Linked DNA regions of Mus musculus. The protein of the gene in region 2 binds, or shares a complex with, the protein of the main gene of each other region. Links are inferred from orthologs where the notes say so. Each region holds a gene or a part of one and is shown on either strand. Other genes may lie near its edges. The genes, in order: Homer1 and Grm5.

Evidence for each region.
Region 1: the proteins of Grm5 (region 2) and Homer1 are in contact, whole or in part, in a crystal structure (PDB 1DDV), measured with the Rattus norvegicus proteins. The link is inferred for Mus musculus from reciprocal best matches to the Homo sapiens genes GRM5 and HOMER1. Residues at the interface, in XP_006229721.1 of Rattus norvegicus: Thr1155, Pro1156, Pro1157, Phe1160; in NP_113895.1 of Rattus norvegicus: His12, Phe14, Trp24, Thr70, Ser71, Gln72, Lys73, Phe74, Gly89, Phe90.

The regions. Positions count from the first base shown.
Region 1 is NC_000079.6:93,296,033-93,312,162, reverse strand, and holds the start of Homer1 (homer protein homolog 1), read right to left. Parts: upstream 8,407-16,130; 5' UTR 6,866-8,406; coding exon 6,861-6,865; intron 4,130-6,860; exon of another isoform or gene 3,856-4,129; coding exon of another isoform or gene 3,803-3,855; intron 1-3,802. UniProt on the Homo sapiens protein: Postsynaptic density scaffolding protein. Binds and cross-links cytoplasmic regions of GRM1, GRM5, ITPR1, DNM3, RYR1, RYR2, SHANK1 and SHANK3.
Region 2 is NC_000073.6:87,576,867-87,592,996, reverse strand, and holds the start of Grm5 (metabotropic glutamate receptor 5 isoform b precursor), read right to left. Parts: upstream 8,830-16,130; 5' UTR 8,457-8,829; intron 6,483-8,456; exon of another isoform or gene 6,279-6,482; intron 1-6,278. UniProt on the Homo sapiens protein: G-protein coupled receptor for glutamate. Ligand binding causes a conformation change that triggers signaling via guanine nucleotide-binding proteins (G proteins) and modulates the activity of down-stream effectors.

The DNA.
Region 1 (16,130 bases), on a different chromosome or scaffold from region 2:
TACTTTACAGAATAACCCTGAGACGTCTCACAAATACTTAAGAAAAACAAAAAGGCTACAATAAGCTCTCAAGTGATCCTGAGGCATACATAAGTACAACAAATAATCTCTAACAGTCTACCTATAAAAAATAAAATAAAAAATAAATGATATCCAAATTACTAGAAATAAGGATTTTTCTGTATACTAAGAATGGAACCTAATTCACTCAATCCTTTCAGCTAATTTTAGAAGTGTGGCTCTGTATTGCAAACTCATCTGTTAGGAAACACAGTGTGATTTTCATCCATGGAAACACGTTAGAGGTAAGGCTCCCACTGCCTGTCTCCTTGAAGCAGTAGTTCAAGCATTGCATCCAGAGCCTCAGCTTGCTGGGCAGCTTGCTCCATCACTGAGCTGTATGCCCAGGACCTTTGGCATATTTTATTAAGACTCAACAACTAAAAACAGTGTGGAACTAGAAACAAATCCTTCTTTGATATTTAAGAAGTCAATGACATCCTCTTTTATGGTCTTTTGGACACTGCAGCACAGAAACACATGGATCCAGATACAACATTAGATATAAAACATGGTGACAATGACTTTAAACAACCTTATAATACAATAATGAAAATGCATGCTAACCATGATGGAATAGTTCTTGTTTCACTTCCACTCTAATTCTTATTTGGTAGTTTTACAAAAAGTCGTCAATTCTTACAACCCTTAGAACTTGTTAGTAACCCTTTCATTTCAAAGACAATAAGGAAGAGCTCTTCATGTTTTATAGAACACTGAAAGAAAATATCCAGAGCTAGAAAGATGCTTCCATGGTTTACCCAGCAACTGTGAAGCCGGGTGTGATGTTTGGATCCCCAGAACCCACATAAAACCCAGGTGGGTGGGGTAATTCCAGAACGAGGGAAGGGACATGGAGACAGGGCCTCCCTAAAGCATGCTGGCTAGACTAGCCAAAAAACAGTGAGCCCCATATTCAGGAAGAGACCCTGCTGCAATCTAAGATGGAGAGTAGTGAGGAAGACGCTGATGTCAATTTCAGGCCTCCATAAGCATTCCTGCGCATGCCGCTTCCTACACACATGCCAACACACCCCTCTCTAGACACACACATTCACTTAAAAAGAAAAAAAGCAACATACCCCCAGGGTAGAGTTAACGTTTGATAATATTAGGTTTTAAAGAGATTAACATGATTTCTCTAGAGCTAGAAAAACTGCACAAGTAAACCATTACTATAAAACTTTGACTAGACATTTTTTTATTTTCATGAACAATTTTATTTTCTAATTTAAAAATGAGAAAAATATTTGGTCAGTCTACCTTAAAAGTAGAAAAGATAACTAAGTATAAATGAAATTCAGTTAAAAAGTACTTTAGCTTTACAAAAGCCATAATGGACTTAAGATCCATTATAGCTTTTTTGAAACTATAAAAGCAAGACAAAAAAATAAAAGTAGAGAAAAAAGTCAAAATAGTACAAAGATATGCATGTCAATTACTCATAAATGTCTTTTAACAAACAAAGAGCAAGGATTAATTTAGTTTTGGGGTTTTTTTTTTCCTTTCCCCTTTCTCCTTCTTTACTTAGGGACACAAAACGGCCAACATGCTAGCTTTACAATTGTAAGGGAAGACTATCAATATGTATGATGTGTTAACAATTAAGAACATAAATTGAAGCTGAGTGTGGTTGCTCACCCCCAACACTCAAGGACTGAGGAAGCTATGGATCACAAGTTCTAGACCACCTGGGTACAAGATAAACCTTTCAAAAGTAGGGCAGGTTGGGGGTGGAGAAGGGGAAGAGAGTGGGAAAGAAGGAGGAAAGAAGGAAGGTGTCCAGATAAAGAATGTGTTGTTATTTTTAAGATGGTTTTTTTTTTTTTTGGACCTAAAAGAAAGAGTCTAGACACACAATTTTATTTATACACAGTGAATGGGGTTTTGTTGCTGAAATTTTAAGTATACTCCTATTCAGAAAGGGTTAAAGTTCTATGGAGTGTGGTGGTACACACCTATTCTGGGAACTTAAGCAGTAAGAGCAAAGCTGGAGGCCAATCTGAATTACTTAGCAAGACCCTACGTCTCAAGTAAAAAAAAAAAATCTGATTTTTTTTTTCCCAGTTCTCATACATGGACTTAAAGCTACCTAAAAGTTCCTTGTTACACACAAAATTTTCTGTAGTTAATTTGAATTCTTATAATTCTTCAAAATTAATCAGTTAAAAAAAAATAAAAGTTTCTGATCTCCAGGAAAATCTTACTTCTTTTACAAACGTAATGCATTTTGCAAAATGCATCGTCTCCACTGAGTGTATTAAACACAAGCAACACAGACAAAAACCTGCACATTACATTTAACTAGACAGGTCCTAACTAAACGTACTAGAGCTACTTAAAACCGTGATTTAAGCCTTAAAATAGGAATGGAGGGTACCAGATAATAGTAAATATTTGGGATTCACTTTCCTGGCCTTCTATTCAGTTAGCAATATCTAAGACTGAAAGAAAGCTCAATGCAGAACAGAGATTTGATCTTTTGAAATGTGAATGCTTTTTATCCTGACTGTCAGCAACTAAGTGTAAGGACAGTTTCTCTGCCACCTCTCCACCTCAGTGTTTCACGGCTCTCCTAAGTGATGAGGCCTCTTATCTGAGCACACCATGCAGTTCCCAACATTTCTAACTCTGTACTTGGGAACTTCTAGTTCTAAAGTCCAGCTACACATTTATTTCTCTGTCTCTCCCTCTGTACACTGAGATGTCCCAGGGCCTGTCACTTCCATTTCCATTGCCCAGTCAGAGTCACTGTTTTAGCTTGTTGTTTCTACAGGACACAACATACAAATCTGAATTAGCTTAGCCTTTTCTCACTACTTCTCTGATCCTTCTTGTTAGTGCTTTGATTGCTTATCGTCTCATATTGATTGATTCCTCCCATACCTCCAAGAACAATGTTTTTCTAAATTGCCAGTTGGAGCCACAGGTTTGTTAATACCAATTAATGGGTCTTCACTACCATTTCTTCTTGAAAATGAAATGGAATATAATTAAGTAGAAACTATCAGACTGCAATCACATAAAGTAAGAATAATATTTTATGTCATTTTATATTTAAATATGAATACTAGGTCACAGCATAAAAATGTATGCTGCCAATGGATCATATTTTTATTATCTGGTTTTAAAAACAAACAAACAATAAAACAAAACAAAAAACAAGCTCTTTCTATAGCCTAGGCTGGTCTTCTCCTGCCTCATTTTTCCAAGGACTAGGTTTATAGAGCATGCCATACAAGGCTAGGTCATGTCTCTTTAAGTTTAAACACCAGTCTATAGTATAACCCAGTCTTTTACTGGCCTACAAAGCTCTAGCCTGGCCCTGGACAAAGTTCTGGGGACTCGCTCTTCTATATAAAAGGAGCCCACACAAGCAAAGCTTTTATGGAGTGGTGCTGTCAATCACTATTCTACCTAAATGCCCTCTAATTTGTCCACAAGGCCTACTTGTACTCACCTTTTAGTATTTAATATCACCTACTCCAAAGTCTTTTTATCCTTCAAATAGCAGCAAATATCCCCTCATACAAATATACCGTGGGCCTCACAAATGCCCACTTTTACTGCTTTCAACATTTCACACCTTACTTTAACCATGATCCCCAGTTCTAAGCTATAAACTCCATTAGGGAAGAAGCGCATTTTACTGACTGTTCAATAACACTCAGCTGAGTCTATGACACATAACTGGTGCTGAAAGTTTGGTAAAATTAAGAAAGAACTAAGGACTTGTACTTACGTTGTTGGGCTGCCTTTACAAAGTGCACGCCTATTGTGATGGTGGATCAACATTTCCACATTTTTGCTACCACCCCTGCCATAAGCAAAATGAGACTCCAGGTAATAACGTAGCAGCACCCAGTTCCATGCTTTAAGGCAAGAGGAAGGGCTCAAAGTTTGCAAAGACAGATAGATAGCAGAAAAACAAACAAAAATCTCAACATCCTTTTGTAGGGAAAACTTCCATTTTAAACATAACTACCTCTTAATAGAAACAGGCATTATTAAGCTAAGTAAAAACAAAGTAGCACAAAATAACTGGTTGAAGTGACTTGGTATATGTTGCCCTCTCAAGTGCCCGACAGAGCGCCAGACTCACGGCCGCATTAGGATATATTACCTAACAGGCACGTCTCGGGAGACGCTGAAGCTTCTGGAGGTTTCATATTACATATGCAATTATCTTTATTTGTAAGGGGCCTGGTACACTTTTTACACACCCAGACTTCAGTTGACCTCACTCCAGTTAAAACTGCTGGTGCAACTTTGACAGACTCTGCCAACTGTTGGTTTCAGCTGTTCTTTTCCTTTTCCAGAGAGTTCATAAACTAGTATTACAGGAGTCATTTTTTCTACCTAATCATTTATTTTGGTTTGAAAAATAATTTCTTTACTCCCTAATTATAACTTTAATTAAGGTAAATGTAAATTCTATTATAGTCCATCTGTAATATATAAATTTCCTTATCCACGTGAAATTTTGGATATTTAGCCAAGTAAGGTAATTTAAGGACTGCCTGGGAAACTTTAAAGGTCACATAATATTAACTTATGCTTCAAAGAGGCCCAGATGGCTGTGTGCTTATGCACTTACAAAGGGTGGAGATGTCTGTAAATGCCTTTGCTGTATGGTATGTTCTTCTTTCTCCACCTACCCTTCCTCTTTCAACAATGCAGGTAAACCAAGCCACCCTCAATAAGAAGGTGTCACGTTCCCAAGTACAGACCTGAGGAAAATAAGAGCAAGTGCCCTTAACTGCTGAGCTGTCTCTTCAGCCCTTCTTTCTAGATCTCTTAATACTCAGCTATTGGCCATGAAGTTTTGGCACTGAGTTTTGGAGGGGCAAATTCAAATTACATCACTCACCAGGCAGAATTCTATTACAGCCTTATTTTACATGTCATTTTTAATTTTTTATTTTATTCATCCTTTAAATTTTAATCTATGTGTACTGGTGTTTTGCCTTCATGTATGTATGTGCACCACTTGCAAGCTTGGTGCCAGCAGCGATCAGAAGAGGGTATCGATCCCTGGGTGCTGGGAATCAACCCTAAATCCTCTTGAATAAGTGCTCTTTACACCTGAGCCCTAAAAATATAATTTTAACAAAAAGGCAAGTGATTTGTTTATAAACACATTATGCTGAGTATCTAAATGTATTTCATGTAGATAGCTTAATTTCATATTTCAAATAGTAGTCTCCTTTAGTATTAATCTCACTCTTCACTTGGTACAACAATGAGTATTCATGTAATGTAAGAGATGCAGAAAACGGATTCTCTTCTTTGATGATGCTACTCCAGTCTGAAGAATGAAGCATTCTTGGTGAAAAACTGCCACTTGATTTTGTGTGTAGGTGAGAGTGCACGTGACACTCCAACGTGGCTTTAAAAAACCACATTTTAAACTGTGAGGCTGCATATAACCAAGGGAAGGCATACTTCAAGTGTTACCAATATTAATTTTTTAGTATTTTCTCATTTAAAAATTGGTGCAACTGACCAGAACATTTTCTAACACCTTCATTTCCTAGCTTAAGTACTTATACAGATTAGAAGAAAAAAAATCAACTGCTGACCATTAAATGAGGGGAGAGAGAAAAAAAATCATTTTTACAGGTTGGAAAACTCTTATGCTCCTTTTTTTACCGACGAGGGCACTGCCCGTAAAGGTTAAGTAATTTGCTGAGGGTCACTATGCTACTAATAGCAGAACCAGAAATAGAATAAGGTATTTTAATTACATTCTTAGCACTTATTATTTAAGTATTAAAATAATTATCTACTCATAATTAATTCCTGAGGAAGAACTGCTATGACACGTGTCTACATTTTCAAAGTTGTATAAGCTAACAGACTTCAAATTTTAATTGTCAGGACAAAAAGCAACTATTCAAGAACTTTATAAAATGTGTGTTCCTAAGCTATCACAATGAAATTTCAAAATCCATCATTGCCAACCTTGTTCCTCAACTACTTATTTATCGGTGTTAGTTGGACCGCAGAGAAAGCACTGACAATCCACTAAAGAAATGAATAGATCACCACTCCATAACACATGTTCCCAGCTTAACTAAAGAACTCCTAGCATTTTATTAAGCTGTAGTCTTTAGAATGAAAAGTTTGGAAATGCACTCTAGACCGGCTTTTGGCTATGCTGAAGATGTAAATCTGACACCGCTGGCACCAGCTAAAGGTCTGAGGCAAACAGAAAAAGTGAACAAGTCCCTTCAACCAACAGCTTTGTCTCTCCAGCACCCACACCGTGGACATCGAAACACTGCGATTTTCGTTTAATGCCCAATAAACCAAGCTGTACATTTGGTTTCGGATGTTCAAGGATAAAACAGAGGGCACTGCCAGGGCACCAACTTACAAAGGGTCAGTTTCAAGGACTGGAGTCTAACTACTCATTACAATTCTCTCTTTGTAACAGCTGATTATTTCTACAAAGTACTGGAAGAATGCAGCTCTTCTCTTTGAACAACACCGTCAACCAAACCTAAGATGGCAAAATTTTAGTAACCTATATAGCAGTTTGATCAATTAAGAGGTACAGGGTAGACTAGTGCACTGTCTTTATATATATATAATTAATAAAACTATAACTGAGTTACAAACATTACACATTCTAATTAGGACCTCTGGTGTCGCTCTACAATAATGCAAATAAAATCTCTAATTTAAAGTAGTACCCGTTTTGCAAGGGATCGGATTTAAAAATATGGTCACCACCACCGTTCAACTCCACACAAGCATAAGCAGATTTAAAGCTGTGATAAGCACAAAATCCTTACCCCATTTTGCCCAATGAAAACTTGCTCTGAAGTTTCTGCTCTTATGCTACAGAAATAACTTCCAAGGAATTTTCTCCGTCTGTTATTTTGCAGTTGCTTTTCCACCCCCGAGATCTTTTCCGGAGGCAACTCAACAAGGCAGACAATTCAGTTAGTTCTTGTCGGTAAAATGATTTCACTCGCGCTGACACCAAAATGTTCAAACATTTGGAATTTGAAAAGGTTGCGCGGAGAATATAGCACTTAACTATTCCACAAAATTAAGCGTACGTGTAGAAAAAACGCAAAAGCCAGCTTCAGCAAGTCTGATAAAAAATGAGTTCGCTGGTCATTTCGCTCACGTCTTCCACGACACTCAGGCAGCCAGGTTACTCGGCCTTTTTGGGCTAAGGCGGTGGGTTCAAATTTCACCACACCAGGTCCCTGGGGGTGGAGCGTGCAACCCAACGCGACGTGCACTTGAATAAAAATCCTACAGGCAGCAATGCTACTGCCTCCCTTACGTTTAAAAAAAAAAATTATATAGAAGAAATCTCGAAGTGCAAACCCCAGCCGCTCCCGATGTGCACGGCACACCACATTGGAATCTGTCCTTTGAATGTTCGTCCTCCTAAGACTCGGAGCAGAGAGGAGGTGGAGAGCAGGCAGAGAAGGCTGGGAAGGATCGATTCGTTTTCCCGAGGAGCAGCAGCGGAGCCATTTCCAGGCTGGCAGCTAGCTGGGGGCGCAGCCGCCGGGGAGCAGCGCAGGGGCCCGAGCCCACCTCCTTTGGCTTCCCGGCCCCCGCCGAGCACAATGGAGCCCCGCTCGCGGCCGCCCCCTCTTCCCGCCTCTCCTCGCAGCACCCGCGGCCTCGGGCTCCCGACGGCGGAGAATGAATGAATCAGAGAACCCAACCCCGCGCGGTCCCCTGCACCCAGCCCCCAAGCTCCCGGCGGCCGCGCGCTGAGGCGAGAGGCTGGCGGCTCGTCCGAGGCACGGCAGCCGCGGCTCGTGCCCCCACCCCGGCTCGTCTCTCCCGCTCCGCGCCGCCTCACATTCCCGGGGCTGCCGCTGCCTCCTTACACTCCCCTCAGCGGCTGACTCCGTCGGCCCGGGCGGCCTGGCGCCCGTCGCTGCCTCTGACTCCACGGAGCGGGCTCCGAACCGAGCGCAGCCGAGGGCGCCGCTTCCCGGTCCGCGCCGCCGGCGTGAGACGAGCACGGCAGCGGAGCAGGAGAGGGGGCGGGGCGGGGCGGGGCGGGGCGGAGAGCGCGGCCCTCCCGGCTCGAGGGGCGGAGCGCTGCCGCCGCCGCAGGCCGGCGGAGGAGGTGGGGCGCGGCGGAGGCGGGGCCCGGGCTCGGACCGGGGCGCTGAGGAACAACACCGGAGGGGATGAGCTGGCCGGTCCGTCGGTCCGTCCCTTTTTCCTTCCCCTCCCCTAGCGGCCGGCGGCGGACGGGCAGTGCGCTCGGCTCCTGCGCTGGCTCTGGGCCGCCACGGCCTCGTCCGCTCCGCACGCCGGGTGCTCGCGCTGTGTCTCCATCCTCCCCGCAGAAGGACCTTTAAATAGCAACGTCAGCGCGCTCCTCTCCGCACATACGTCACCCTCCGCTCACGTCAGCTTGTGCGGGGGATGATGTCACGCGGCCGGAAGTACTGCTAAATTAGGGAAAGAGCTGGGGGAGGCGGGCTGAGCGAGCTGCTCCGGGCCCACCTGCTCCCGGTTCTCTCGCTTCTCCTTAAAGGCCAAGGCGCCGGAGACAGTCTGAGGAGAGCTCGGAGAAGGAAGCGGCGGGAGGAGGTTTCCTTGGCACAAATGTGCCATATGCGAATGAATCACTCATAGCAACAGTGCCGAAGTGTCGCCGGTAAAGTCCTGTCTCCCTCTCCCACTGGGTTTGCAGCAGCATCCCCGGGCTGTTCACATCCCAACCTGCAGGGAATCGTGGGAGGGAGAGTGATCACTGCTGGTAGACTCGGGGAAAACCACCGTTAATTTTAGGAATCCTAAATACCATTCTGAACATAGTCAACTTTTAAGCTTTCTCCCCTCCTAAAGGCGTGCGTTTTAACTTAAAAAAAAAAAAAAAAAAAAAAAAAAAGAGTAGAGTTAGGAGCAAACCTCTTGTTACAAAGGATAGTAATTAAAGCAGAATGAGATTTCCAAATGTTCTAAATGTTGCAGTTCGCTGCATAGCCATGGTTCTGCAAGGCATAATGAGTCAAATTCATTAAAGTAAACTTAGTTCCCTCAGATAATTACCCTTCTACAGCATCGCAAGTGCCAACGAATCACCTTAGGTCTGACTTACCAAGGATATGAATTACAGTCTGGAAACAAAGTCCTACTTTATTAACACAAACATACGTTTGGGTTCCTGATTATTTTGAATCTTGTAAGCACAATAGCTCTCGAGTATATTTTCATTTTTTTTAATGTGGCAAGGATGACTAGCCGTCTATAAATTTATAGCTGCATATGTGAAATTGTGTTTTTAAAGTCATGAAGTTTTAAAATGGCCCTGTGTTGTTAAGGGCCTTTTATTGGTTAGACTCACAGAATGAGTTTTGCTTTTATTCCATTTAACTTGACAATTGTGGTTCAGAAATAGAAGTGCTGCACCCTGCTAAAGGCCATTAGTACTTCAGTTACTCCAAAGAGTCAGTGACCACATTTTACAAACTAAACTCATTTGACATGAAACATGAAACTCACTTCATTCAAAACCTGAAGTGACCCGAGAAATCCAGGACATGATATTATTACAAAATCATTAAATTGTCCTTAGAAGAATAGTACATCAATGCCAATGCAGTTCAAAAGAAAGTCAGCTAAAATTCTATAGATCATGCCAGGAGTGGTGGGTTTTGTTTTGCCTTGTTTGATTAAGATCTTGAACACCTGGGCTCTCTTCCCTAATCCCTCCTAAGCAATGCAGTTACAAGAATGTCCCTTGCTTGCCTGCTATATGTGGTTTTTAATACATGTTTTTAATGTTAACACATGATTTTTTTAATTAAGGAACAACAATTTTGCTTTTTTTTTCCATTGACATTTTCTTGCTTGAGTTTGGCAAAGTGTTAGGGCTAATTTATAACTAATCAGACTGCCTGATCATTTACCTGAACATTATAAAGTTATGATCTTGCTTTAAATTTGAAATATTAAAAAGACTGAGAGGAGTTTTTTTTTTCCTTTTTTTTCCCACATGTGTGTATGCATGTGTGTGTGCATGTGCTGGAACATGTGTACACGATAGAATGGAAATCAGGTTTAACGTGAGGAGTCTTCCTTGATTGCTGTCCACCTTATTGATGGATGGAGGGAGGGTCTCTCTCTCTCTCTCTCTCTCAACCAAACTCATCTTATCAGGAGGGCTAATCCAACTGACCAGCTTACTCTGGGCATCCAGTCTCTGGCTTCCTAGTACAGGAGATAGAGGTGGATGGCCACCCCACTCAGGGCTCACATCCAGTCTCTGCCTTCCCAGTGCAGGAGCTACAGGTGGACAGCCAACCCCACTCAGGGCTTATGTGGATGGTAGGGATCTAAACTCTGGTCTTCACACCTGAGTGGTAACTCAGGGTCTGGTTTTGTTTTAGTGTTGTAATGGAAGATTAATGAAAAGCAAATATCTGCTTTCCAAATCGGCTAATATACCATTGTACTGATAGAACTGATACTAAGTTATATTTCAGACAAATTTTTACTTAAATATAAAATACAAAAACAATGACACTGTTATTTTTCAAATAATGTCATCTTATGATCCTTGCAAAGTACAAATGCAATGTGTTATTACTCTCTAAAATGAAAAAAAGAAAAACTTTAAAAAACTACTCACCTACCCTTATTCTCTATTTCTGGGTCTTTCTTACTGTGTTAACTAACACTTATGTGACCATTTTCAAACACATTCAAGCCTATGATTGTAGCCTCCTCCCATTTGTGTTCTTTATCAAACTGATTTTTACCCACCTGCCAAGACAGTCTGTGAGCTGCTTCGGTGCCTTTAGAGTTTCTTTAAAGTCCTTTGCTCGGTTTCTGTTTGTCACAGGGTGTGGTGTCTTCTCAGCTGCCTCTTGCCAGCTGAAAGAGCAACTTTTTGTACATACATCTGACTGTTCACTGTGATGTAATTACTCAAAGCCTAAGTGGTCATTTCAGCATCTTATTCTAGCAACAATTGGCCAAGTTTTATTCTTTCCCCATTTGTGTGGGATTCACATATCAGGAAGTAGCTGTGTTGCCAAAGGTTTAAGTAAAACCTAGAAACATAATATGAGAGATGTCCTAGGGAAAATAAATGCCCTTCCTATTACCCTACTTTGAAACATTTCTAGTACACTTCCGACAGGAGTCGGAGAACCATTATATGGCTTTTTATCCATCAATAGATATCTTTTCTGCTAAAATGAGCTGTCATACCATAAATTCCAACTCTAATTTCCTTCTGTTGTTTTAAAGTACTGAACTTCCTAGAAAGGAGTGGATTTCTCTCACCGGAAGAGGAAGAAAGAACTTCAGCAGCATTTCAGTTTTTAACAGTTCCTCTTTTCCAGTATGCTCTCAAATTTATGGGGCGGTTTATGAATACCCTCTGATTTTAGAATCTGTGGGCGAAGACATCTGTTTCAGTTTTGGGTTTATTTCCATGCCCTTAGCAGGAGATGGTAGTCTCCAATGGATGTTCATAGATGTGTCATGAAATGGGTCTTTTTCAATGAAAAGTCATTCATGAGCTAGAAAAAAAATGCAGAAAAGAGAGTTAAAGCCAGGTTTTATTTTTAATTGACTTACATTAGATAATGCCACTGTCACTTCAAATAAAGTCATAAGCAGAAATACTGGATAGATAGCTCCCCTGCAATAGAAATCCCACAAGCTTATGACAAAAAAAAATGTATAAGAAACTAAATAACCAGCGAAGACTAAAAGTAATAAGAAAAGAATGAAACCGTAGAAAACAATTTCTAGTGGGTGCTAAAAATCTCATTGCACATGCTCTAAGGTTTAGCACACACAGGCCATCATTTACTTGAGTTGGCTTGGATAAAGGCATCTTTCATTATTATTACAGTCTTCATCTCAGCAGAAATGAGGTGGCAGAAAAGTCTTTTCAAATGAATTTCAATTAAAAAGGAAAAACACAATCTCAAGAGTGGGAATGTAGGTGTTTGGCTTCTCAAGTCTAAGTCTTCCAGACAGATTTCCTCATCTGAGAACATCCATACATGATACTTTTTTTCCTCTTAAACAGAATCGTTTGTGAGTTGTAGAGGAAGAGATATTGAAGAGTTATCCACAGGAAAACGGCTATAGAACATGAGAAATGACGTCATGGCACTCTCCTGCTTTGGTTTTTATTGTAATCTCATTGCTGATATTCCAAGTATTGTTAGAAAAGTAAAATACAGTCCTAGGCTTCTAAAGGAAAACTCCGGAAGGTTTCCAGTCAGGTCCTGTCGAGGGCCTGAATAGACTAGAGGGATGATAATAATAGTAATAATAATAATCCTCCAATCAGGAAATCAATGTGCAGTCTATTTGTATTTTTTAACGTTCGGGGGATATAGTACCTTTCAAAAATTATCTGGCTTAACTTTGTTTTGTTGGCATTTCAAGCAGCAGTCACAGAGAACGGGCTGGGAAAGCAGGCAGTCCTCAGAGAACTACAGGAAAGAATGGGGGTAAAGCTGCACCTGTGTGGTTCCTTAGAATGGAATGCTGCGGAAGCTGATTGCCATAGTAACCAATAATCTTTTTCCTGAATGGGGAAACAGAACAACCATGAGGAAAATATTTTAGATGAGCTACCTCATTTTGTGACTCTTGGTGCCAGCAAGTATAAAAACAGCACCCAAGGCATTCAGGACAGGCAAGCTTGTAAAAGGAAATTGCCTTCTTTCCAGAGAAATGAGGCTGAAGCTGCGCATAATTGGTAACGTCTCGGACATGCCTGGAGCTGACAGAAACAATACCTAAAGTCTGTTAAATTTCTCTCCAGTATAAGCGGTCGGAAAAAAGCCTCAGCATTGGAAGGTTTTAGCTGTAACGTTTCATGAGTTATTTATGAGGCTTTTATGTATTTTAATCTGGTTCAGATCATAATGGCTCTAAAGGTTACATTAGAATTAGTGTTCTCTACAGAAGCAGACCACTATGACATATACACACAGACAGACAGACAGATGAGAGACAGATGACAGATTTATTGTAAGATTTGGTGCTCACAGTTTATGGAAAGCAAAAAGTCCCAATCTGCACATTGGAGAACCAAGGAGCTGGCATAATGATTCATCTTTAGCCTAAAAGACCCAAGAACCAGAGAAGCCAATAGTGTCTTTCTTAGGCCAGATTTAGAACCCTGAAAACCTGTGATTCTGATGTCTCAGGGCAGGGGATGATTGTCTAGATTCCAGTGGGAAAAAAAAAAAAAACATTGCCTGTTGTCTTTTTGTTCTAATCAAGACTGTCCACAGAGCTGGGCGTGGTGGCGCATGCCTTTAATCCCAGCACTCGGGAGGCAGAGGCAGGCGGATTTCTGAGATTGAGGCCAGCCTGGTCTACAAAGTGAGTTCCAGGACAGCCAGGGCTACACAGAGAAACCCTGTCTCGAAAAACAAACAAACAAACAAACAAACAAACAAGACTGTCCACAGATTTGATGGTGCCTGGTGAGAGTAGATACATTATTAGTAAGACCACTGGTTTAAATGTGAGTCTCTTTATATATGCCTTAGACATTCCTACCCACAAGGATTTACTAGTTATCTGTGTGTCCTTTAACCTCATCATGTTTACATCTAACTTGACCCTCACAACATCTATTATTTTAATAATGAACTATATTTTTATCATATTTTACGTTTGATAAAAAAAGTATTTTCCTATATTGATCAAGTATCTGCTGACGTCACATTGAAGGAAACCCAGATTTCCTATCTTACCCTAAGATGATTGCCCCCACATGATTACGGCCCCTCTTTTCCTCAGCTACCTTTAATACCACTTCCCACTGTGTGGGTTAGTTTGTTTTCAATGGCAAGGAACAGAAAGTCCAAATAATGGTGAGAGCTAGATGCATACTGTGTTTGTCTTTACTTGTTTGCGTAGCGGGAGGTTTAGGGGTGGGTCGTCCTGCAGTTGATTCTAAAGGTCCAAGGTGTTACCAGCGTCCCTTCTACCCCTTCACCTTGCTGTCTTTAAATCTGATTTGCTATCTCATATTTGTCTGATCATTATATTTCTGGACTTCCTATTCAGACAAAGAGCACCTAAAGAAAGAAAAAGAGGAGGAGGTGACACGCGTTCCTCCTTTTCTCCTACTCTTTAGGGAAAACAATCTTCTGCGCTGCCTCCCCACCCCAGTGCTCTTTCATGTCTTCATAGTCAAGACTAGATTGCATAGCCATCCCTGTACACTGGTGACTGGGGATAGGATTTTCATGACTAGCTTAGATAAGCAGTAGTCCATCCCTGTGTCAGTGTGTTGGGGCTGAACAAACTTAAGTATCTTGCAGCTCAGCAGAGGGGTCAGTGCCTTTTGAACAAGCAAACCACATATTGATAAAAATAACTAGGACTAAACCAAACTAATGATACCAAAACCCTGTCATCGTTTTTATATTTTTATGTGTTTGTGTATTAAATGTGTGGCATATGCACACAAGTGTAGGTTGGGAGTGTACATTTGTGTGTGAGAGCAGAGACTGAACCAACCTGAGTGTGCATGTGTGTGTGTGTGTGTGTGTGTGTGTGTGTGTGTGTGTGTGTGTGCGTGCAGGGAGGCTATCTCACTGAACCTAAGTGTGCATTTTTGTGTGGGTGGGGAGGCTATCTCACTGAACCTGAGTGTACATTTTTGTATGGGTGAGGAGGCTAGCTCATTGAACCAGAGTGTACATGTGTGTTTGTGTGTGCAGGAAAGCTATCATACAGAACCTGAGTGTGTGTTTGGGGAGGACGGTCAATCTCACTGAACCTGAAGCTCATCATTTTGGCTCATTATCTGACTATCTCTGCCTCCCAGCACTGGGCATACAGGCATGACTAGCATCCCAGCTCTTACATGGATCCTGGAAATCTGTCCTGGACTCACTGCAATCACAGCAAGCACTCTTACCCACAGTCATCTCTCCAATCTCACAGTGAAACCTTTAAAACATTGAAGAAAAAAAAAAACAAAACAAAACAGGTAAATGACACTGAAAAGACCCCTTCGCTTGCAGAGTTGCAGAATTAACATTGTGAAAGTAGCTGTTCTGAACATCTAATGCAACCCCACCACCACCAAAAAAAAGGCAAAGACATTCTTCATGGAACTAAAAGGCAACCCCACATTTCATAAGGAAGCTCAAAAGACACCAAATAACCAAAGCAATTCTGGGGGAAAAAGTCAACGTTGGAGGTATCAAAATACTGAATTTTATGTTATACTGCAGAACCATACTCATAAAAGAAACACAGTATTGGATCAAAAACAACACATGGACCAATGGAATAAAATAGGGGGCCCCAGAGTAAATCTACACAGTTTTAGACTCGTTTTAGACAGAATTGCCAAAAACACACATTGGTTAGAGAAAAGACAGCCTCCTTAGCAAATGGTTCTGGGAAAACTGGATATCCACTTGTAGAACAACGAAGCTACATTCCTTGTATAAAAATAAATTCAAAAAGTGTTAAAGGCCATAATGTAAAGCCTGAAGCTGCAGCAGCCAGAGGAAGTCACTTCAGGATGCAGGCACAGCCAGGGGCTTGCCAAAGAGAGCTTTAACAGCTCAGGAAATAATAGCAAATAATTGATAAATGGAATTGCATGAGCTTGAAAACCTGCACGGCAGGGAAACAGGGTGAAGAGGCAGCCTAGGAGAAGATCTTTGCCCGTTGTCTGTCTCATAGGAACTTAATATCTGGAATGTGTAAAGACCTATTGAAAAATAGACAAAGAAACAAGTGGTCCAGTCAATACATGGGCAAATGAAATGAAGAGACACTCACTCCTCAGAAGATGAGAGACAGGGCTGGGAGATGTCTCCGCAGTAAAGAGCTGACTGCAAAGCATGGGGGCCTGAGTGTGGATACCCAGCATGCAGTGTGCCCCAATAATCCTAGACTGGGAAGTGGAGACGAAGGGGTCAGAGACTCACTGGCCAGATACTCTATCCAACAGGTTAAATGATTGGCACCGCCTCAAACAAATAAGGTTGGTGCTAGAGGCTCAGTAGTTAAGAGCACTAACTGCTCTTCCAGAGGACTCAGGTTCAATTTCCAGTGCCCACATG
Region 2 (16,130 bases):
TTCCATTAATTGTTTGCCTTAAGTCTATCCATTAGAAACTACATTAAATAAATCATATTGTTAATTTTGCTTGCCTGAATTATTTAGAAAGATCACTTTAAAAAAACACAGTGGAATTATGGTTGTCATTTAGGATTAGGTAATATTGTTGTAGCAAGATACTGTCTTGTCTATTGGAGGATATTAAACAGTGTCACAGTTCTATGTCTACTGAGCCAAACGACTGGTAACACAATTTTTTATTTATGAAGCGAAATGTACCTCTAGGCAGCACTGAATGCCCTTGGCAGGAAAGAAGCATTTCCAGTTTGAAAACCAATGATATAAGTGAAAGTCCTCAAAGTATTTTCCACATCACTCATAACAGAAAGGACAGCTAAGGGCTGTCCTTTGTATTCATTTTCATTCAGCTTTTCTCTGTAACTTCCAAATGAGATGAAGGAGGTTAAGTTAGGGTGTGTGTCCTTTTCTCACTTTGTTACACGTTTATGTGTGATCTTGTTGCTGAGAATGTTACTTCATTTTGGAGACAAAATTTTAACTGACACAATGAATGGTTTCTTTTTACATTCGCTTAACATGGCTCTGGATATCCACAAATTACAATAAAAGAATGTGAGACTAACATAGGCAATATTTGCTATATTAAATACTTCTTCATTCTAGTTATAAAATTCATTTTGACTTGATTAGAATAGCAAATTTTATTCAATATATATATTATATATATATTATTTTCAAAATATCATTTAATTTTTAAAGTCAGTAATAATGTATTATTTACTTACTCCTAAAGAGTAATGTTACATTAAGACAGATTGGTCTTAAACTTATTTTTATCATTATAAAATAACCCAGTCACAAAAGAAGTAATTAGATATGCATTCACTGATAAGTGGATATTAGCCCAGAAACATAGAACACACAAGATACAATTTACAAAACACAAGAAAATCAAGAAGAGGGAAGACCAATGGGTGGATACTTCATTCCTCCTTAGAATAGGGAGCAAAATACCCATGAAAGGAGTTACAGAGACAAAGTTTGGAGCTAAGACGAAAGGATGGACTATCCATAGACTACCCCACCCAGGGATCCATCCCATAATCATCCACCAAACCCAGACACTATTGCATATGCCAGCAAGATTTTGCTGAAGGGACCCTGGTATAGCTGTCTCATATGAGGCTATGCCATTGCCTAGCAAATACAGAAGTGGATGCTCACAGTCATCCTATAAGATAGAACACAGGGCCCCCAATGGAGAAGCTAGAGAAAGCACCAGGAGCTGAAGGGGTCTGCAACCCTATATGTGGAACAACAATATGAACTAACCAGTACCCCCAGAGCTCATATCTCTAGATGCATATGTAGCAGAAGATGTCCTAGTCAACCATTACTGGGAAGAGAGGCCCCTTGGTATTGCAAACTTTATATGCTCCAGTACAAGGGAATGCCAGGGCCAAGAAGTGGGAGTGGGTGGGTAGGGGAGCAGGGCGGGGTGGGGAGGGTATAGAGAATTTTCAGGATAGCATTTGAAATGTATATAAAGAAAATATCTAATAAAAAGACCATAAATAAATAAATACATAAATAAATAAATAAATAAAGTAACATGATGTGTATCGTATAGATATGATGCACATTAGTGTTATTGTGATAATATTTTTTCATTAAAATACTTAAGCTAAAAAGTTTAACATACATAACCTTCATTCAAAACTACTGTGACAAATATCCATTAAAGAAATTTTCAATAGCTGACATTTTGTAATGACAGCAAAATCATGTCTATTTAAAATATACTTCTTGCTTCTGATTCTTCCCTTTAACTTTCTTGAAGAGTTTGTCTAAAAAAAGAAAATGTTTGAAACTGTAATTATGTACCATTTTGATTTCTGATTTTCTCACAAATTTGCATATCTAATTTTGAATATTCTAAAATGTTTTAGAAAAAAAAATTTGGACACTCCCTTGTGGAAGGAGATGGTGCTGACTCAAAATTAGTAGAATTAAAAAAAAAATTAATGTGAACTAGCCAGTACTCCCTAGAGCTTATGTCTCTAGTTGCATATGTAGGAGAGGATGGCCTAGTCGGCCATCAATGGGAGGACAGGCCCTTGGTCTTACGAAGATCATATGCCACAGTAGAGGGAAATGCCAGGGCCAGGAAGCCAGAGTGGGTGGGTTGGGAAGCAGGGTGGAGGGAGGGTATAGGGAACTTTCCGGATAGCATTTGAAATGTAAATGAAGAAAATATTTAATAAAAGAAAGAAATTTAAAAAGAGAAAAAATACAGCTTACTCTATATGTTCAAGTTACAAGATAATATTCGTGCCAAAAGCTAGAATTTGGGAGCCAAATATCCCTGGGTTTACACTTGTGCTTTGGGGTGGTAGGAACAGTGAGACTTTAGACAAGTTATGTAGTCCACTTCACCGTATAACAGCTGTTAACAATAAAAAAATTAGAAAGAGCAAGAGAGAGAGAGAGAGAGAGAGAGAGAGACAGAGAGAGACAGAGAGAGACAGAGAGAGAGAGAGACAGAGAGAGAGAGACAGAGAGAGAGAGAGAGAGAGAGAGAGAGAGAGAGAGAGAGAGAGAGAGAGAGAGAGAGAAATTCATGTGACTATTGAGAAAGTTAATAACTCAGGCAGCATTTTATATCCAATGTCGTGCAGACAACAAATTGCCATAAATTACTTTTATGTATTCATCACTAACAGGTCAGGGAAGTTACTCCAATTGGAGCAATTAATTTCCCATACTCACTTGGTTGTATTAATATCATTCTAACTTTCCTCATCCACTACAAACAAGAAAAGTTGGGTATTTGTTTATATAATAATATATAATGAAATATATATAAATCATATACATGATTTAATTCTGTTTACAAATTCACATACTCAACTAAAGGTGAGATCCACATTCATGCAATCTGGTGCCAAATATTCACTAATAAAATACACTGCAAACCACAACAGACTGAGAACAATCATAAAAGAGCCTCCACAAATATCTGCATTATAGACTGATGCTATAGAAACAGGGTATGTTCTATTCATACTGACAATTTTATAACACACAGCATATGTATGTGTTCTGGGGGTTGTTTCTTGGTACCATTTTCATGTTATAACAATGAAAGAAAAACTTCACTTTTTACAACAAAAAAAATTAAAACCAGTATATCATGTGACTCATTTGATGATTAGCAATGTAATACATCTAGTACTTGATACAATCCCTAACATGCTCAATAAATAATACTTGCCCTGGCAAGCATTGACCTACTACAAAACTTTTATTGGAAGCCCTATCGCCAAACATAGATGCATTTGTGTTTGTTTCTCTGTGTGAGTGCATTTCAAACAATATTATTAGCATTAAAGTATACACTTATGTCTCCTCTGCATTAATACTGGAGCCATGGAGACAAATCTTGGCATGTTTTTGTATTTAAACCCTTTCATTCAAATGAAATGAGAAAATATCAAGAAAGCATTTTCTGATTTGTAAACAGTTGAAAAATCAAAGTCAAAATGTTACATTCTTAGGTCATTTGAGTATGAAATAAAACCACTTCTTTGGATGTTCCCTTCTTGTGTGTCTTCTACGTACACAACAAGAAAGGACATAAAGAGATGCCTTAGCATCAGAATTAATATTTCCAAACAAATAATTCCAAATCAAGGACACTTCTATGTAATACACTGTCATGTTCTCAAAAACATATATCAAAAGAATCATCATTTTTTCACAAAGTTAGATTCAGCTGGATGTATTTAAATAGTGTGAAGAAAATGGTACATACACAAATGTCTAAGTCCATATATGTGTCCATATATCCAATAGCAAAAATGTATAAAGAAATATGCCTCTTCATTCCATGAATGTAGCAAACCTTGAATAAAACATGCATACATATTTTACTCAAGTAATACAATTATGTACATATTTACAATTTATTCAATCTCATTTTTTCTGATTAGTGTTCATCTTCTTCTATCATTTAATTTTTCTTCATCTTTTTGTTACAGGGCCTCATTTAACTTCCTACATAACTAAGGATTACTGTGAACTTTTGTGTTTCCTGCCTCAACCTTTCAAGTGCTGAGATTTAAGTTATACATCGCCATCCTCAGTTTTAATTTACCATTTCTAAATGCATAAATAGTCCCAACATTCTTCAAAAAGTCAATATAGCAACATTCCTTGAAAAATTCTCAATGCATTTTGAATAAAATAAGAATCATGAAAGTTATTTACTCACAAATGTAAACATTTTTAGTGAAGCCAATTAATTTAGTAGGAAACATGACAAAATAACAGTTCAGAAAAAAGAAAGAAAATGGTGTCTCCTTACCCAAGTATTCTCAAATCATAGATATTCTTTACGTGGATAAATATCTATTACTGAATTTTTCAGTGTTCCCTGGATATCAGTCTGAATGGCTATGATGTGTACAATGGTAAAGGTCTGTGTATACATTTGATAACAGGTTAAGATTTAAGCAAGTACATGGGGTGTTCAAATATCATTCTTATCCAAATAACCTCAGAGTGCCTATAATAAATAGACATTAAATTTTCATTTTCTTTTTTCTTTTTTGTTCTTTGGATTTCCTCTGTCCTTTTTGGGCATAAAACCCACAGGTAAAACACTGCTATGGAACATCATGGAGCTCTAGAAGATGCAGTTGAAATACATGAATTTTACATTTAATCATAAAGTGTAAAGGACGAGGAAAAGTCTTTTATCTAAGTGGTGGTTTGTTGCTCAGTAAGTGTCCAGTGAAGCCTAGGGAATAGTATGAGTACCTGTCCAAGGTGCTGAAGAAGTTTCCAGGAGAAGGATGCAGACTTGGTAGAATGCAAGTCATTAACCTAGTGAGTTTGGCAAGCAAAGTTTTCTATTTCTAAACCAACAATCCTTCAAAATGGAAAGTTCCACAAATGACAAAAAGATTACTAACTGACAATTTAATATGTATTACACAGAATTAACAGAGAAATTAATGGAGGAAATTCCCTCCACTCCATAAGAGAAGAGCACAAAGCACTCACAACAAGAAAAAAATAGCACACCTATATCCTCTGAAACTCATAATAAGGTGTCAAATAACTCAGAATAAATCTTTGCTGGATGAAGGGGTGCCCTTAGTGCTAAGCATTCTCACTAGACTGTTGTTATAGGCACCAATTTGCTACCAGAACTAGAAATACAGGAGATCACTAGTTCACTTCTTAAGCAATTTAAACAATAAAATATAAAGTTGGATATTGAAAGGAAGAAAGAAAGGTGAGTCCACCTTTCCATTTGTGAATACCAATTTCTTATGAAGAAATAAATTGATGCATAGCACTACCTACTTGTTTGGATACCCAAGCTAATTCAGGTGAAACAGTTCCAGGATTCTGACTAAATAAAAACAAGAATCTGTTATCACTTTCTCAAAGTCACTTTTCCCACACCATGCACTCTAAAGAGAAATACGAACAGCCATACATCCTACAACTAGGTGGGTAATCACCCAGGTCAACCATTACTTCCTGCTGAAATGTCCCAAAATAGATTAGGCTACTGTAAACATCAACTAGAGTTTGCTTGGTAGAACTTTCCTGGTTCCTTGTCTCCAAGTCCCTGTAGCCTGGGATCCCTCTTCTGCGCTCTGATCTGCTGCCCCTGGGTAGCTTTGTGTCTGGAAGGAAGGGAAAGCTATATCCAAGGAAAAAGAAAGCGCACGAAGTTGCGCTAGGGGTTGGGGGCGTTCAAAGGACATTGAGATAGAAACAATAAATCCCAAGCTGTGCTTTCAGCACCAAACGCTGTACCCCCACCCCACCCCGCCCCAGGCAGAGGAGAAACCAATCTATTACCCAGAAGTGATTCTCCTTCCTTCCCTTCTCTACCTTTGCTTTCTCAGTTTTGAGTTCTCCAAAGGACTGGGTAAGCCAGTCTGCATTCTAAACCATGTTCTCCTTTCCTCAGAGCTCAGACACGGGGATCCAAAGGCGTGCATAATCCCTATCTTAGACCTTGCATACCTCCCCCTGCTTTACCCTCTTGCTCGCGCCTTTTCCACCAACAGGTTTAATTAATAATGGTCTTCTGTAAAAGAAGCAGATGTGAACCTCTTCTGCTCTGGCCACCCCGGATTCATCTAAGTCCCCTCCTCCAAACCACACTGTGAGCTTATCAGCATGCTTAAAGCTTCTAAATCCTTGACAGGTCTGGGGATAGATACCTGGGCACACAGACATAGCAAGCTTACCCCCTGTTGGCCACGCAGCAGGCAGTGAGATGCTGTTTAGCTAGCCCCCCGGAGTAAAGTTGGGCAGCAGAAATCAATGGGGTTGAGCCAGCTTTTCCTTTCTTGGGCTTTTCCCCAACCCCAAGATGATCCCAAGCTCATCCCCTGTGCTCGGAGTGCTCAGAACAGCGGAGCTGAGGGCGGCATGTACAGCAATCTTCCCCTCTATGGAGACAGGGGGAAGGGGAGAAGGGGAGAGAGCGGAGGAGGGAGGGGTGGTAGTTAGTATTTATAGAGAAGAGACTTCTCTGCGCAACTTTTTGGTGCCACCAAGTGGCACAGTGAGTTCCTTTAGGAACACAGACTCCTGGGCAGATCAGGATGGGTACACTAGTTTCATGGCCAGACATTCAGGATGGGGGGAGCTGAAGACACCCAGGGAGATGAGTTTATGAATGCATACCATCTCAGCATCTGCAATGCAAATCTCCAAATTCTATAAATGAATATGCATTGACAGAAAAGGGCTAGAGATGACTTCTCCAGTCAAGTAGAAGAGGAATCAACATGGTATGTGCCAGCTGCCTGCTGCCCACTGGGCTATAGACATGCATGCTCTAAGAGAAATATCGCTTTTCTCTTCCCTCCCTAAGCCTTCTACTCATATTACAGAACATTCCTGTCTCATTCCAAAATCCTCATTTGCCACACAGTGACAAACCTTGAAACTAGGATGTGATTTTCTTTACCATAATCAAGCCCAGGTAACTTCTCAAAGCTTAAGTTAAATAAAAGCAAACAAACAAACCCCAAAACTTCACAACCTATCACCAAAATATGTTTTTCAAATGCTACTTCGCTAGACAATAAAATAAACAAACAAGCAAATAAGCAAAATGTAACTTTAAGTTTTGTGCATTTGAAATTTTCCAAACAACTGTCAAAACTCCATAATCTTTGCATGGGCCTGAATGTTTGGCTGGACTCAACCTTTCCCATAGACCTTTCATAGAACCAGCATGCATTATCCAATGGCACTGTGAACGTTACAGCTGTTAAAATACTTGGAGAGAGAACATCTTTACAATCTATTTGCCTGTATTTCCGGATATCTCCCTTCCCTCTTTCCCTGTACAATTCTTCAAGCTTATACAAACACACACTATTTTGTGAGACTTCAGTGTCCTAAAATGCAGTATGCTTTCCACTTTCCTGATGGAGAGAATAAGTGTACAATGCTTGGTAGTCTTGTTCAAGGTCACATATTTTCCTAGACAATGGCCTAAGGGCTTCTCAGGGTGTGACTGAATGAACATTGGTACCAAATCTGACAGACCCAACTCTCCTTGCTATACTACCACACATAGCTCATGGAGTCTGTTCAACTCCCCTCTCTTTCCTCTTGATCTCCATGTTCTTCATTATCATCCTTTATGAAAGTTCTGTCAGAAAATTTAAGGTTAAAAAAAATCTTCCTTTCACTGCTAGAAATATATAATCTTAGCTTTAAGGGTCCAGACGTGCTGATACATCTCATAAATGGGTTAATGATTCCAGAGAATCTCTTGGTCCTGGTGTTATAGTCATTCAAATGTCATTTTAGAATTGTAATACAGTATTTAAAACCATCCATAATCTTCTTCCCTGTCTCATTTTTGGGGTGCAGCATCAGCAAGTGTGCTTACTACAGCCCAAACATCTAATATCCTCAGAGATCTAAAATTCTCCTCCCTCGCTAAGTGCATGCTTTATCATTGCACATGTACCAGCATGAGACAGAAGGGGGGGGGGCTTTATTGGTTTTATTTATTTTTTTCTGCCACTGATTATTTTAGCTATTTTCTGTGGAAACAACCCCACTGAAATCCTTCAGTTAGGTGAATGAAAACAAAAAGATATTCAAAAACCTCCCATTTAGCCATACCACATTAGCCCAGGCTCCTGACTCTAAATTCATGTCTAATTTATAGAGCACATGTCCTTGCGGGGTGACTTTCTTAAACTTGCAGGACCTTCTAGTATCCCTGGCTTCACCTGTCGTCCACCTGCCCACCACCTGCCCTTCTGGGTCCCTTTAGTCCAAGCACCCGCCCCTTGCTCGCTCACTCTCCATCCCTGCACTGGGGGAGGGGCTCCGGCGGCATCCTACATCCCTGGTAACTCCACAGCTGAGAGAAAGAAAAACAGCGCTATGCTTACCAGGTGCGCTCCCTGAGCCTTGCTCCTCTGGACAGCCGCTCCTTTCAAGCTCCCTGCGCTTTCGTAGCGGCCTTGGCTGCTGCAGAAGCGCTAGTGGCTGCGATCTAAGCTGTAGTGGCAGCCAGCAGAACGGCTGCGGGCCCGCGGTGGTGGCGCTCGCTCTCTCGCGCCAGCGCCTGGAGCACGTGCTGCGCCCGGGCAGACGCAGCTGGAAGCGCAACGCTGGGTTGGCTCCTACTCTTGCAGAGTGCAATTGGGGGCGGCTGGCTAGCCTTGGATCAGTGAGTGAACACTGCTCCTAGAGCCTCTTGGTCTCAGGGTTCAGGCCAGGGCAGTCTTGGACTTCCTCACTACCTCATTCCCACCCAGAGATGGAGAAGCAGGAGCTGTGCTGGGAGGCGTGGGTGGCATGTCACTCAGAGAGAAGCTGGAGAGCAGGTAGATAATCAGCTTCTCTCTGAAGATAGTACGAAACTCCTGACAGTTATTGGGAGAAGGGGTATTATTGCTGGAAGACAGAGAGAGGAGTAGGAAGAAACAGAGAGACAAACACAAGACTGAGAGACACAGAGAGAAGAGAGAGAGAGTGACACAGACTGTACTTACACACACACACACACACACACACAGAGAGAGAGAGAGAGAGAGAGAGAGAGAGAGAGAGAGAGAGAGAGAGAATGAGATTCAGAGAACTGCAAGTACGGTTCAGAAGCCCGAGTGATTAGAAAGACCAATGTATTTAATGGTCTTGAGTCATTAATAATGTCATTTTGCATTTGTCTGCACTTCTTAAAAATGTTTCTTCCTACATCCATTAAAAGTCTTTCCCTGTGGGACTTAAATGTTTTACTTCTTCCAATTGCTTGGCATCCTTTTCTTTGATACCCCTAGTACTGTCTATGGACATCAAAAATGCTAAGGTTACCTTCACATTATATCTGAAAGAAAAAGAATAAAAGGGATCCCTATAAATTACTTGCATGGCTTAATTTAAACAAAAGAATAATTGGGTAATATTATTATTGCCTGAGCAAATTAAAGGAGCCAGGTACTTTCAGTAGCTGAATTAATGATTAAAACATGCACAACACTGAAGTCAAGGACACCAGTTATTAATAACTACTAATGTTTGTCAGTGGGTCCTTGACAACAAGGTAGTGTTTCTTTGATTACTTCGGTGATATAATAGTAAGGAACGGAAGAAGGGAAGTATCCATTTAAAACACTATGTCAAGCATTAAAAGACATTTGCCCATATGTGTGTATTATAGCCCATTTACAGCAACACATTAGAACCAGACTCCAGGTCCACCAACAGATGAATGGGCAACGATGTTATATATACATATAAAACTTTTATTCAGCTGGAAAGAAAACTGAAATTATGAAGTTTACAGGGAAAAAAATGATCAGCCTCAAGTGTATAGCATTAAGTTAGGTGGTCTAAACCCAGGAAGACAAAGCCAGTGTGGTCTTTCTCATGTGCAGATCCTAGCTTGTAATGTGTGCATGTGAAAATATCTGTAAATGTGGACTGATCTTTAAAATACAATCAGCATCACCCCCACAAAATTACTAGAAAGGAAACCAAAAGAAGGGAAAAGGGGTACTAAAGGAAGAAGAGATCAAAGGGCACATTTGCTATGAAAATGAAGAAAGGGGGTAGAGTATCAGAGGGAGTGGGAAGTAAGCAAAAAAGAAGAGGGTGGGAATCTGCTAAAACACACTTTGTTTGAAAACTGATTAATGATGTCTAATACCTTGTGTTATTTTAAAAGTTAAAAAGTAGATCTTCTTAAAGGTATTCATTTTCATTTTTCCATGTCTAAAGACATTTTTAGATACTTGAAGTACAATATGTGAATTTATTCTCCTCTCTTTTTCTAGAGTTTAAAATGTCCGTTTGTCCAACATGAAATTTTCTGTACTAGGTTGATTCCAGTTTTGATTTAGGTCCTTTTGTGAAAAAATGACTGAAGAACTTAGAGAATCTTTGTTTCCTCAAAGGAAGTGGCTCATAAAGGGCATATATGGCCATATTGTCCATGTTTAGTCCAACTTAAAACAGAATTTGTAGATTACATGCAAAGTACCTAAATAATATTAATAGATATGAGATGTTTCCAAATACCTGCACATATTTCATTCTCTCCTCTCACCAAGGCTAATGAAGAAGATGCTATCCCAAAGCATCAGAAAGACAAAGCTGCCCGTAAGTCTCACATGTGGCTTAGCGAGCTTTATTCACTTCCTGTTCTATAAAAGTTGACATGCAAATGGAACTTTAGGCTTATCAATAGCAGTATGTTCAGAGAAGAGAAACATCATTAGATGTTCTTAAATTGCTCATTGATATTTAAAACGGTAGCTTTGTCTCACCCTTTGCACTGTCCTGTTTTTTTCTAATGACTGTTGTTTATAAGTGGTCACTAGGGTAACACTTTGCTCTCCTGCAATTGTTAGTAAAAATCTTACTTCCTGGAGTTTAATCTTGTTGGCTGTGTTCAAAATCTCAGTGCCTCAGTGTCCTTAACTCAACGATTTTCCCCTTTGTCATTGTTGACTTAGTCTAAAATAAAGTCTAATTCAATAATAGTTATGATCATTTTTTGTTGTCCATCTTTCTTATTAAAATGAAATATTTTAAGGAAATATTTTACATAACACATTGCAAGTAAAGTTCTAGCAAATAGTGGACAGTCAATTGTTATTTTAAATATTTAAATTAATACTAAAAAGAATGATGCCTTCTATGTGTCATTTATTGTTCAAATTGTGAATGCTGGTAATAAACCCCATAAATATTTGAAAAAAGTCTGGGGAATAATTGTGTGATAGTCTCTATCCCAGCTTAGACACAACTGCCTGTGGTATCACGTTTCTCAGTTGCCAAAGAAGCTATGATAGTGCTAAACATTTTTAAAAACTATTGTTATTGTCACAATGAATAATAAACAAGTGACTTTTCAATCAACATACAGACTTAATTCTTGTTAGTTTTATAATTTGGCATCTTCATAGAAGATTGTACAGCAGAACTAGAGAGATTTTCATAATAAGTCATTTACCAAAGAATTTCAATGCAAAATCCAGGCATAGCATGGGATTTTAACACAAAGTGTTTCTAAGTCCAGTCACTTATTGCTCATCTGACAAGAAAAACAGTGCATGGCTTTCTAAATTTCTGATTTTATTCCAAATACAGAGTAAATGAGATGGAGTATTAATATTTCAGTACATGGCGATCACTGCAAGTTTAGTCTGTGTTTTCTCTAATAAAGCCCTGTCCTAGCAAAACTCTTGACACACAACAAATACAGAGAGATACTTCTCATTGCATGGTTCTTGGTCAGTCTTAACATCTCTTATGCCAATAGATTCTGAAAGCCCGGGTGCAGGAGTGTATATCAATGCAGTTACTCTCTGCACTCCCTTCTACACATACACACACACACACACACACACACACACACACACACATGCATGTACTCGCACGCACACGCGTGAGTGCAAAGCATGTACTAGACTATCCTCCTGAATACAATCAACTAGACTGACTTCTGAAAACTGAATCTCGAGTTCTTCAGTGTAGGTCTTTGACAAATTCTTGAAACCTTAAATTCTAACCATTGTCTATAAACAAACAAAAAATGTGAAAGAGAATTTCTAAAACTCTATTTTGGAGACTATATATGAGTACACTTTACAATCCAGAAGTTTTTCATTCTCAGTAAATTGACATCTTCCCCTCATCTTCCTCCATAATTTGACTCTATCATTCCAATACAACACTTCATGAATACACAGATTTGAAAAATGCTGTTATTTTATTGAGATCATAAAGTAACAAAAGATAATTCCTTTTGAATTGTGTTTTTATATGTAACAGAAATTTCTTGTTTTGTTTCTCTGATAGCACATGTGTTGAAGGTGCTGCTATTGTTAAAAATAATAGAGAAGAAAACATTGTACAGCTCCTCAAAGCAGCAGGCACATAGTATTTGGTGATGGCAATGGTAAGAAACGAGTGTAGACATTGGCGTGGCTAAGATACTAGACATGAGATTCTCTTCTTCAATCATTTGAGAATCAGAAAGTCAAACAACAAATGCTTTTACTGAACTTATAGATATATACCTAACTGCTTATTTTCTATATAACTCTTGTTTTGTAAATATAAGTAGGTCTTCAAAATAAATGAGAACTATAAACACTGTTCAGTTAACTAGTTGGAGTATTTAAGAAGTAATCTATTTTACATTTATTGTCCTCATCTTAGATCTCAATGTACTATAGTATTTTCTTATTGTTAAGGAACATTCTCAGAATGAAACAACCTGAGGATATTTTCCTCAAAATTCTCTTATTTGTCCAAAAATGTCACTAGAATTTATTTCTTCCCATAGAAAATGATAAACAGTTTAAAGATGGGGTATAAATAAAATGTATTAAAGGTGGGAGAAGGGGTGAGAGAAAGGAAGGGGAGGGAGGAGAAAAAGAGGCAAGGGAAAGGAGGAAAGAAATAAAGGAGGGAGGGAGAAGGAAAGAGAATCAGTGTCAGATGCAAAGACAGAGGGAAAAAAATGGGAAACCATCACAGCATAGAATTTTGTCAAAATTATTAACCTTAGCTGTGTAATCAAAAAGAAATTTAATCATTTAATTTTAGGAATGCAAGGGCTAAACTAACACCTATGTCAATATTTAAATGTAAGACTCAAATTCTCAGCTCAAGACCTCCCTTCTGATCTCTTGGTGTTTTATGGACTCATGTCTGGTTTCCATAGTGACTGTTTTCATGAGTCTATTAAGTAATATAAAAACTGAAATTTTTCTCATCACTTATTTTCAAAATCTTGGAATTAGAATCTTACCCCCATTTCTACACCATGCCAAAGAATATTGCCTGCAACTGCAATACATTTAAATTTGATGACAAATACATATTTTGCAATACAGGAGTAGAAAAAGAGAAATGATAAAATTTTAGTACAAATTCAGTATTTATAATATTTGAATAGAACTGGAGATAGGTAAGTAATTATATAGAAGAGTATAATAACCTTGTCTTGATTCCTTTGGTGAAATAGGTAACTCTATATTTTTTGTTGTTGTTGTTCCATGGAGTCTGAGATACGTGGACCAAAAGAAGACTTAGTAAGAAACAGAATGTGTTGGAAACAGAAGCTGTGCTACGCCAGGATTAACTTGATAAACTTTAATTGATTCTAATTTTTACTCAAAACCTTCCAAGCTTAGCTCCCCTTCATCAAATAATAGAAGAAATATAATCATGAATGTTCTCTAGAAAACTTAATGTATTTTATGTTTTTAATTTTTGTGTAAATATTGAACCCTTAATTTTTTTCAGATCTATCATTACTCCTCCAAACTTTAACCTACTTCTATTGTTTGATCATTTTGTGCATCACATATTAGAAATACCTAGTTTCATTTGGAACCAGTTAAGTATGTGCATAACAGGAGGCACTGAGAATCATCTTCATATAATTTTTTAATGTCTCTCTCGCTTGTGCTGTGATTCTTTTTACCCTGAAATACATCTTAGACATATATGCTTTGAAGTTATGCAATTTTCTGTAATCACAGGTTTTCATGTTCTGATGACTGGATATTGTTTCCATCAGAAGGTGGTAATTTTCCTCGCTAAACGCCTGTTTTTCTGCTACATTACCATCAATCACTAGGAAACATGTGGTAGAACTCTCACATATTACACACATGTAATAAGTTCACATATTAAACACATGATAAGTCTTTACTGAATAACTACATGAGTCAATATCCTTTCCTTTGATGCATTCATGAAAAAAACTGATATTAAGACCTACTAAGAAATAAAATTTAAAGGACTTGAGCTTAATATATACATAAATATTGATATAAATATATAAGATTTTGCTCAACTCTAATAGTTGATAATAGAATGAATGGGTTTATATTTTGTCATTGCTAGTGACAAAATTGTTTCCTCATTAAAAACATGATTTCATGGCCATGGTTCAGTCAGAAAAGTTCTTGCTGCACAAGCATGAAGATATGAGTTCAGATCCCCAGAACCTAAAGTGACAAAATGTGAAGCCCTATAATAAACATTTGTAATCTTAGAACTGGGGAAGCAACGAGAGGATCCTCTGTACAGATAGCATAACCATTGCGCTCCATGTTCAGTGAAAGACTCTGTGTCAAAACACAAAGTAAAACGTTATTAAGGGAGATACAGCTGTACACACATGCACACACACACACACACACACACACACACACAAACACACACTTAATTTGAAAAAAAGATAAAGTTACAGATTCTTATAGCTTTAGGACTTGTTACAGAAAGATTTCCAGAAAAAAAGGGATCCTTGCTAAATTTTAATAATTTTTCTTTATATAAATGTTGCCAGTATTACAAAAGACTCATGGAATATGCTTCCTTTTGTTGTTGTTGTTGTTGCTGCTGCTGTTGTTGTTGTTGTTTTGTAAAGAGAGTGTTGTCTTCCTGAAATTCACATCTAACTGGGTACTGTGTGTTTTAATTTACTAAACTTGGCAACCCTATACCTAAGCTGTCTTCTCAATGGATACTATGTTCTATAAAACTTACCTTCTTTAAGCTATAGGGGAGAAAACAGTAACAGCTGATGGCAGGAGCCAGCCAAATTCTGGCATGCATTCTTACATGAGAGTGTTTAAATTACGTTGGCAATATCTTTGAGACTAACTTAACACTCTAAGATGAATTTAGAACTTATGAAATAAACCATGTTTATATACTAGAATTATAAGTAGGAAACAGGAGTAGAATGTCAAAGAAAGACCAGAGTAAAAATCCCTTCGGGTCTTTTGAGAAATCACTTTGTCTTAGGCAGCCCCATGGGCCTACATTTCATAGTATCAGAGCCTCAAGCCTGAATTAATTGTTCGTACCAAATTTCAAAGAGATATCATCAAAAAGCAATGTTCAAACTAATACAACATAGTCATTGACAAGGTTTTAAAATACATGGAAGCATTAATGGATGATACCTCTGGCAGTTTCTGTGAAAATTTGAAAATGATTTAGAGTAAAGTAAAAATATTAGAATATGATAACAGAAACAATTCAGACTCGCTTATTTAAGTATTTATAATATTTAGCCCAGTGCCTGGCAATGGTTTAGTATGAGAAAAATATTTTTAGAATAAATGAATAACTCTTCATTCTACTCATCTCTTCCTTTTAATTTCAACTTTATTTCTAGATCTACTTTCTTCCTTAGGATAATTGGGGTTCTCTCAGCCAAGAGTCAAATTTACAGAGACTATTGAAAATAACAAAATTCTAAACCTTGCCTCTAAGAGAAAATACAACTAGAATCTTTACCAACAGAAAAAAATGATAACAAATTATCTGTATTTGAAAAGAAGTTACCTTCTAGGGGAAGGAACATACACAAAGCAATTCAGTAGCTGATGATCTGTCCTGAGTGTTATACTGGATATTTAAAGAATAGGAAATCTACTCTTTTTCTCTATGTAAACAATTAGGTCAGAGTTAAAGAGTCTTCATTATGAAACAGTTATGTCAGGGTTAATAAGAGTTAAGCCTAGCGAGATATTGACTTGCACATATTATGTGGATTGTTGATATAAAACTGCAGGAAATGAATGCATACA